Caenorhabditis elegans: one gene and its partner. The protein of the gene in region 2 purifies or fractionates together with the protein of the main gene of each other region. This does not show direct contact. Each region holds a gene or a part of one and is shown on either strand. Other genes may lie near its edges.

Region 1 (3,582 bases), 2.6 Mb from region 2:
TTCCTTTTCTGTCCAGCTCCTTCACCAAATGCCGCAGTCTGTTTTATCGATCGATTCCCTATTCCATATTCTCCAAGATCTTCTGCATCCATAAAATCTTCAGCTCTTTGTTTTATTTGTTCTCCACGTTCATTCCGAGATGATGAGAACACTTGAGGAACCCATCCTTGCTTTGATCCAACTGTATTCCAATAACCAGCTGAAAATCCTCCAGTGAAGGCTCCATGGAATCTCCGTTTTCCTTTTTCATCTGTTGCTATCTCTTCGTGGATTTGAGTTGGCTTTTTTGATACAGAGCTTCCTGAAATTATTTATTTTTTTCCTGAAAACTGTAAAATTGCAGACCTTCTTCGTCATCATCTTCGAATTCCTGACCATATGCTGCTAATTTTTTCCTGTTCATTTATTTAGAAAAATCTGAAATGAAATTCACATTTTTTTCCAAAACTTTTTAGGAAACAAAAATCAATATTTTAATGGATTTTTCTGAAACCGTATATTTTCCAAAATTAATTTCAAAAAACTCGAGCTGAATGACACCTATTTATTTAAACCGACAAACTAAATCATCAATATGATAAATACAAAGAATAAAAATAATTGTTCTGTTTCTGTGTGATCACTTGTTGACCTTGTTGAAGTATTCCTTGCTGGTAGCGACTCCTGGCTTGATGGTTGGAGAATCCTCATGCCAATCAGCTGGGCAAACCTGAAAAATTAATTTTTTATTCGTCGAAATTTGTTTTAATGGACTAAAACTAGCCCGAAACGACCGATTTCCTTTTCAACAAAAATTTAAATATTTTTATGGCGGGCCAAAGTTTCGGAAAAAAAACATTGCATTTTTTTTGCTAGAAATTAAATTTTTTGTAAATTTCAAAATTCACCTCTCCGTGCTTATCAGAGAATTGGAATGCCTTGAGCACTCTCAAAGTCTCATCAACAGATCTTCCAACTGGAAGATCGTTACAAGTAGTGTGACGGACAGTTCCAGATGGATCAATGAGGAAAAGTCCACGGTATGAGAGTCCGGATTCCTTGTCGAGCACACCGAACGAGTCGGCGATCTTCTTGTTGAAATCAGCGAGCAAAGGGATGTCCATATCACCGAGTCCTCCGTCCTTGCGTGGAGTGTTAACCCAGGCCAAGTGAGAGAAGTGAGAATCACACGAGCACGCGACAACTTCAGCTCCAAGAGAACGGAACTCGTTTGCACGATCTCCGTATGCGATGATTTCAGTTGGGCATACAAAGGTGAAGTCAAGTGGATAGAAGAACATGACGAGCCATTTTCCTTTGTAGTCTTGATCAGAAATCACCTGGAATTAATTTTTGAAAAAAATATATATATTTGTTATTTTTAACCTTGAAGTCTCCATCAACGACAGCAGTTCCTTTGAAAGCTGGGACAGTATTTTTTGGTCCAAGTGGACGAAGTGACAAAAGAGCACGAGATGTGCTCAACTGGCGGGTGGCAACAGTAGGAACCGTGCGGCAAAGAGCTCGAACAGCAGAAGAAAACATCTGCAAAACTCAGATATTCAGAAATCTTTTTTTCCAGAATTTGATCTACGAAACAATTGAAGATATCAAATCGTTCCAAACTGGTTAACGATAAAAAGAAAATAGCAACAGCAGATAATTGAAAAATGGTCATTTTATTCACTGTTATTGCATGTGTCACATAGATAACAAAAATCGCAAAATTGAGAAGAGCGAGCGAGTTGAGACCAAATAGATATTTAAAATTTCGAATGGTAAATTGGGAAAGAGGACAAAAAATAAATAGAAAAGGAAAAACTTAACAGTGACGTGTAAAAAAACATAAAACGTGGATTGGAGAGGACAATTAAGTACGTGGTTTTCAGCGCTTTCCAGAAGTCTTCTTTCCCTTGACGAAGCACCAATCGACTTTGACATTCTGGCCGAGAAGATCTGTATCGTTGCTCTGATCAATAGCTTCGTTGGCTTCCTGGAAAATAAATAATTTATATTGATACCAGCCGTGGACCGCACCTCCGGCGCGGCCCCCCACTTCTGGGGCTGAAAACTAATTTTTCTGAAACTACCGTAACCCTACAGTATTCCTACCGTACCACTATTGTACCACTACAGTACCCCGACTATATCCCTACACTAACCCCAACTCACTATCCCCACAGAAGCCAAAACTTCACAGACTACAAAGACTACATAGACTACAAACTATGGACACACAGAATAAGCGCTTTATATATAGTAAATGATTTCGATAGAAACGACGACTGCTAAAATATTACCTTCTGCGTTTCGTACTCCACCAGTGCGTATCCCTTCAAAAAACCGGTTCGTCTGTCGAGATTCAAATGAATGTTCTTAATTTTTCCGTACTCGGAAAACTTGTCATGAACATCATCTTCTGTTGCCTCTTCGTGAATGTTTGTCACGAAGACAATCCATCCTTCAACGGATCTTTGTGGTGCTCCGCTTGTGGCAGACGACTCTTCATCGACCACGTCGTAGGTGATCCTCTCGCGATTGCGACTCTAGAAAAATATATTATTGATTATTGATTACAAAATTCGACAAAATTTACCTGCGCAAGTCCTCGACCTCTTGATCTCTCGGCGTTGGCCACCACATCCTCCATCTCTACTTCGTTGTCGCTCATTTTTCTCTTCAAGCGATTGAGACGATCGGGCTCTGAAATTTTATTTATTTATATTTTCAGTTAGATCATTCAGTTTGAAAACCGCCACAAGTTCCTATTGGAAAGAGCAGTTTACACGAGAAAATGTAGAGAAAAGATCGAGGAAAGAATAAATTAAAAGAAAGTGCACATTAAAAATATTGAGATAAAATGGTTAAAATTCGTTAAATACAGGTTGATTTCGTAGAGATCAGTAGATACTTCAATAGTTGAATCCACCGCCAACAAGACGACGCATTCTTCTCGTGTTTCTGTCTTGATCACGCATCTTCTTTTCGATTTCAGCGTCGGTTAAAGTTTCGAGGAATGGACCCCAAGATTCGACTTCAGATGATGTTCTGAATAGCATTGGTTTGCAAAAATTCATTATTTCATATCAAATTTACCTGAACGGGCAATCAACAGTGGCCAGTGGGCTTTCTGAAAACGCATATGTTCTTTGATTCCATTGTAACTGTCCGCGAATTGAATATGCAATTCCTGACATAAATTCACCACCGAGGCCAAGCTCTTTGCAGATGTTTCGTGAAAACTCTTCCGGGCTGTTATTAGGATCCGACATATCCCACCTGAAGTTAAAATGAATTGTCAGTCTTTAGCATTTCCAACATACTCGAATTGATCAACCAAACTCTGGTTTCCAACATTAATATTCAACTTGAGAACGGCTCTCTGATCACAAATGTTCACATCCAATGGTGGCGCTTCTGTAGAAGCTTCGAGCTGCTGATTAATTGCTGCAGTAATAGCAGGCTGGAAAACTGCCAATGGTAGATCAAGATCTTCACACATAATTTCGGCAATCATCTCGGGAGTGATCATTTTCTCGTTTTTATTGAAAGTGAACGTATCGCGAAGTTTGATTCCATCCAACTCCATATCCAATCGAATTG
Region 2 (5,329 bases):
TTTAAATTTTTATGCGTGATGTTCGATTATTATTTTTGTTTTATTAATATACATATGTTCACACTAGAATCTCTGCCTTTTTTCCTCGTCCCCAAAATTACCCTTTTCATGCAATTTTTAGATTAGAATAACGAAAAAACGGCTTGAAGTTAATGATGGTTGAATTTTCAGAAAGGGTGGTGGTCTTTTTCTGTAAATTCGACGTTTTCTGCCCGCTTTTTCGTTATTTTAAAGACTTGTACATCCGATAGATCGATTGCGCCATTTTCGACGTATTCCTCCGTGTATAGAAATCTTTTTAAATTGTGTGAAAACATTTAAAATCGCGCTAGATGTCTTTGTCTATTTATCGTTCCCATAACCTTTTTTCAATTTTGCGTCCTTGTTATCTGATATCATTACGATTTGTAGAGGTTTCTCTTTCATTCCCCTTTTACCAATTCGCAATAAAGAACGCGTCATTTGATATACTGAATTTCCAAATTTTTATTAACATCACAGATTTGGATATTACGTAATCATCAGAAAGATATAATTTCTACATTTGTAGCGCGTAATATCTCATAGCGACTTTCTACCGTATAATTGAACTGAAAAATAATTAGTACGGTAGAAAGTCGCTAGAAGATATTTCGCGCCACATAAATAGGAACTCTTTTAACGGTTTTGCAAAGACTTTCTATATACTGAAACAATTGTGCAACTTAAATTTATTGAACAACGTCGGGTTCGGGGGATATTTAAACGTTTACAAAATAATGCAGAATGGATAGTTTGATGCTTCCAGAGGAGGAGAAAAGTGAAAGGTCTAGGTTAAAAAAGAGGGAGTCGTCAATTATAAAAAAACATAATAAATTTTCAAAAGGAGAACGGAGGACTGAACCGTGAGGGAAAATCGAAGAAAATTTAGAAAATGGGAAAAGTCGAGATATTGTACAAAAACAAGGCAGAACAAAAAATGAAGATTCGAAGAAATCATCAGTTAATTTTCGAAGCATTACTATAGAGTGCATCGACAACCTCTCCCATTGCATGAATTGTATCCAGAGCAGTTTGGTACGCCTCATCGGGAACAGCAATTTCAAATACAATAAGCATTCCCTCGCCTTGATCAAGAGATCCCGAAAGTTTTTGATCGAGAATCATTTGGGACAACTTCTTTTCGACCTGAAAGTTTTATAAGTTTGTGTAAAAATTAACAACTTTTTTGCATTTATATTTAAAAAACAATATTTTTGGTTCTTACCTTTGATCTATCAATTCCAATCTGTTGAGCAACATGTTCAATTTGAACGAATGAGTATGGCTCAATAATACGGCACAGATCTTTTTCAAGCATTCGTTCACTCAAAGAATGGAAATGTTTTCGGACAACTGGATCCATTTGAAGTTCCTGTGGGAAAGAACCGAATGCAACTTGGAAATCCTTAAGAGATCTCTTTTGTGCAGCTGCGGCGATCGCCTTCATCGCATCCAAATCAGAACCATTGTATTTAAGAGCAAGTTTTGCGGACAGAAGACTGTTCACCTCATCTGGAAGGTCAAGCATCACCTGAAAAATTTAATATAGGATTTAAATATAATAGTAATTATTTTTGAGTATTACCTTGCACAGAAGCATATACTTAAGAGCGGTGAGGGCGGACACTTTTTCATCAACCGAATCGTATCCCTCAAATGCTTCGTAAAAGTATGAGAAAGCTGTCTTGAAGTCCTTCTCGTCGGCAGCGTGAAGAATTCCCGATTGAAGATCGAGAGCTGCTTGCATGCGAGGATTCACATAGATTGCGTTGGCAGTTGTACGAGCACCAGTGAGAGAAGCACGAGCACGACCAATATTGGAAAGATTATAGTACGCTTTGCTTTCCTCAAGTTCGACTTCCACGAGAACGTCCTTATCGTCGACTTTTTTCAGTTCACGAATCAAATCGGCAGCTGAAAAGTAGATTATCAGTTATTTTCAAATATTACAGCGAAATATATTACCAAGTGGAAGAGCCTGAGTGTATCTTTGAAGATCATTATAGAGGCGAACAAGACGAGCAGTGAGTGTTTGACGGAGGAAAGTGCGATTTTGCTCGGTGGCCCATTGAATACATTCTTTAACGAGTCCAACCTGAAAATAGTTGGGTTTATATTTGAAGCTTATTATTCTGCTCACCTTAATATCTCCATCTTGATCATCAATTTTAAGACATAGATCAACAAGATCTCTGACAAGTTTTGCAGCCTTTGCCTTTCCCAATGACACCAAAAATGGCCTCGTTTGTTCAATCATATTTCGGAGCTCTTCAGTTTGCTTATTTTGAGCCAAAATATTTCCCAATTCCATGATCGAATCTTCTTTCTTCTTGATATCATCGTCCCCAGATGCTGGTGATTTTACTTCAATTTGGGACAAATTGGAAAATTCTGAAATATGGAAAAGGACTCACCGAGATTGGTGAGGTGACGAATGACGTTTTGGTCGTTTTGATGTGGAAGTGAAGTCATTGTATCCATAATGGTTCCTCCAGACATTTCAGGTGCTGAAATTAAGATTTTAATTGCAGTAAAAAGTATTGAATTTTATGGGGTTATTCAAGTAATGTAGCAAAATGTATTAAAATACATTTGTGACGTCACAAATGTATTTAAATACATGTTTTTGTTTACTTGAATACAGCTGTGACGTAACTTTTCTACACTTTTTAATTTTCCGACACTACTTGAATAACCCCATTAAAAATGAAATAACGGAATGGAAATTGTCGGAGCCTCAGAAATCAATAAGTGCTTGCGGAAAACACACCAACTGATTATATCATTTTAAAATATGATAATTATCATTTAATTGATCAATTATCAAAATATAAACGGATAAAACATTAGAAAACTGGTAAGAAACAGAGAGTAAGACAATGACGATGACAATTCCCGCCAGCGTATTTTTCCCGGTGTGGTACGGTACACAAATGGTGTTTGCGGACTTGAAGGTGACGCGAAAATGCACAGAACAGAAAATTCAACAAAATGTTGTTTAAAATACAAATAAAGCTTATTTTTTTCGGGTTGATTAAAAAAATTCGAGTTTATTAAAAATTTACTTTCTCGTAACAATATGTTCTTCGTTGTGGTTAAATTGCACTGATAAAGACCAATAAGGTCAAGCCGCCAGTTTAACTGAAAACGGGGAGCCCTGAAAATAAAGAGTTGTTTTCGAACACCAGCATCGGGGAGCTGACTATGAGCAAATAGCGGGCTCGTATGTAAAAGAGCGGTTAGCACGTGAATTTTTGAGAGTCCTCTTGGGGGAAAAGTGGTGAATTTTAAAATGCTGTGTGGAGATCCAAAAAAAAATCAATGCAGGCATGCATGAAAAACAGGTTGATCAAAAACTTATTCTTTTTTGGAATACAAAATTGACTTTAAAACACCAAGTGCAAATAAATAATATTGAATTAACTCTTTTTCACTTTCAAGAGGTAAAGTTCAGTTTTTCAATAAAAAACGTACCTTTTCCAATATTATTAGTGTCTTCTCGTGAACTCGTTTCTCTCATTAGGACGAAAAGTTGTGTCAATTAAAATAATTTTTTGAAGCAGCTTCGAGGATGTCAAAACTTCAATGTAGATTTCTTTCATATATTTCTGAGCAGCTGACTCTCATTTTCAACTAAAAAACAACTAGTTATTTGGCACATGTTCTGGGTCTCGCCACGACTTATCCCCAAGATCCAATACATTCGTTTCAGAGAAATCTCACTTGATCCCTCGAAATGTTTGTCGTTCCTCGTCGTCTGTCATCTTTTTTATCACTAGGTAATTGATAAATTAAATGATTGTATCATCTCACACTCTAACCGTCTGGTGTCTTTTCATCTCACACGATATATGTATTTCTCTTATCATCTGTTTCTATTTCCTACGGTCATTCGGTCATATTCAGTTCACGAATATCGTCACTTGGCACGTAGATCATACGTTATGGAGACACCATCTATTGATATTCAAAGTGAGTTTATAATAATTTTTTACCAATAATTCTTGATTTTTCAGACATTCGGGCAAAATATCTAAACTCTCATGATCCATATCTACTCGAATCAAAGTTACCAACCACGTCACCATTCGAACTTTTTGATATCTGGTTTCGTAACGTCGCTTCACAATCTGACTTAACATTCGAAGAAATCAATGCAGTATCCTTATCCACCGTCGGAAAGTGAGCATATTACATTCAAAATGGAGAAAAAAACCTAGAAAGTATTAATTCAGAGATCTTCGTCCATCATCCAGAATGGTTCTTCTGAAAGCGTACACACCAACTGGCTTCTCGTTTTACACAAATTATACTAGCCGCAAAGGAAATCAATTGGAAGAGAATCCGAATGCCGCGATGCTCTTTTATTGGCCTAAAGTCAATCGTCAGGTATAATTTTCAACTGCTGAAAATTTGAAATCGAGATTATTTAATTTCAGATTCGAGTTGAAGGTGTTGTTGAGAAGCTTCCAGATGAGATGGCCGTCGCTTATTGGAATTCTAGACCAGTAGCAAGTCGAATCGGATCAAAATCAAGTGATCAATCAAAAGTGGTTCCCGATAGAGAATTCTTAGAATCCAAAAAAGTTGCACTGACAGAGTTATCTGTACGGGAAGGAGCTCAAGCAATCACGAAACCAGAATCCTGGGGTGGATATCATTTGATTCCTCGATATTTTGAATTCTGGCAAGGACAATCGGATCGTCTTCACGATAGAATAGTATTCGAAAGAGATGTTGATGTGTGGCTTCTCAAGAGGCTTTCACCATAATTCCATTCACTTCTATAGTTAAAGTTCGTGTAGATAAAAATTAAAAATATTTTCCTTGAGAAATACGTCGTATTTATTTATGAATTAGACCATAAAATTTTTTCTTACCAACGGAATTACTTCAACAAAAAATTACAAGTTAAAATGAATCAAATTAATCACAATGTATCCTGTTATATTCTTAATCACTTGTGAATTAGTTCTCGAATTATAATTTAAAGAATATGTATTTGATTCTTTAATGATCATTTTCATTTCCGAGTTATTTCAAATCAAAATGTCAATTGAAAATTTCAATTTGAAATAATAGCCCATAGAAAGGTAGGCTATCATTTTCCGAGGTTTGAATAACTTCAAGAACACCGCTTTTGAAGTTGTATTTTTTAGAGAAGAATATAGAATTAAAAATGCTAATAAATTGCAAAATTGTATTATTTACAGAAACAAAAATAAATGGTACATGATATTTTGAGAAAAACAGGGGAATGTTTCAAGAAATAATATTGGGACGAATATTGAGATTACACGAGTATTTA

What was found. The genes of interacting proteins can lie anywhere in the genome.
Region 1: the proteins of rpn-6.1 (region 2) and prdx-3 fractionate together in Caenorhabditis elegans (co-fractionation; one large-scale study listed by BioGRID). This does not show direct contact.

The regions. Positions count from the first base shown.
Region 1 is NC_003281.10:4,405,386-4,408,967, reverse strand, and holds prdx-3 (putative peroxiredoxin prdx-3), read right to left. Parts: upstream 1,525-3,582; coding exon 1,366-1,524; intron 1,320-1,365; coding exon 888-1,319; intron 710-887; coding exon 620-709; 3' UTR 534-619; downstream 1-533. Other genes in the region: gpch-1 (G patch domain-containing protein 1 homolog), read right to left, coding at 1-301, 346-403; RNA-binding protein rnp-4, read right to left, coding at 1,865-1,972, 2,280-2,525, 2,576-2,650; snfc-5 (SWI/SNF Subunit INI1 DNA binding domain-containing protein), read right to left, coding at 2,892-3,027, 3,076-3,258, 3,303-3,582. UniProt on the Caenorhabditis elegans protein: Thiol-specific peroxidase that catalyzes the reduction of hydrogen peroxide and organic hydroperoxides to water and alcohols, respectively.
Region 2 is NC_003281.10:6,958,413-6,963,741, forward strand, and holds rpn-6.1 (putative 26S proteasome regulatory subunit rpn-6.1), read right to left. Parts: upstream 3,590-5,329; 5' UTR 3,542-3,589; coding exon 3,496-3,541; intron 2,529-3,495; coding exon 2,436-2,528; intron 2,386-2,435; coding exon 2,162-2,385; intron 2,117-2,161; coding exon 1,987-2,116; intron 1,936-1,986; coding exon 1,607-1,935; intron 1,553-1,606; coding exon 1,247-1,552; intron 1,168-1,246; coding exon 979-1,167; 3' UTR 698-978; downstream 1-697. Other genes in the region: F57B9.1 (Putative pyridoxamine 5'-phosphate oxidase), read left to right, coding at 3,966-3,993, 4,038-4,203, 4,257-4,410, 4,461-4,793. UniProt on the Caenorhabditis elegans protein: Component of the lid subcomplex of the 26S proteasome, a multiprotein complex involved in the ATP-dependent degradation of ubiquitinated proteins. In the complex, rpn-6.1 is required for proteasome assembly.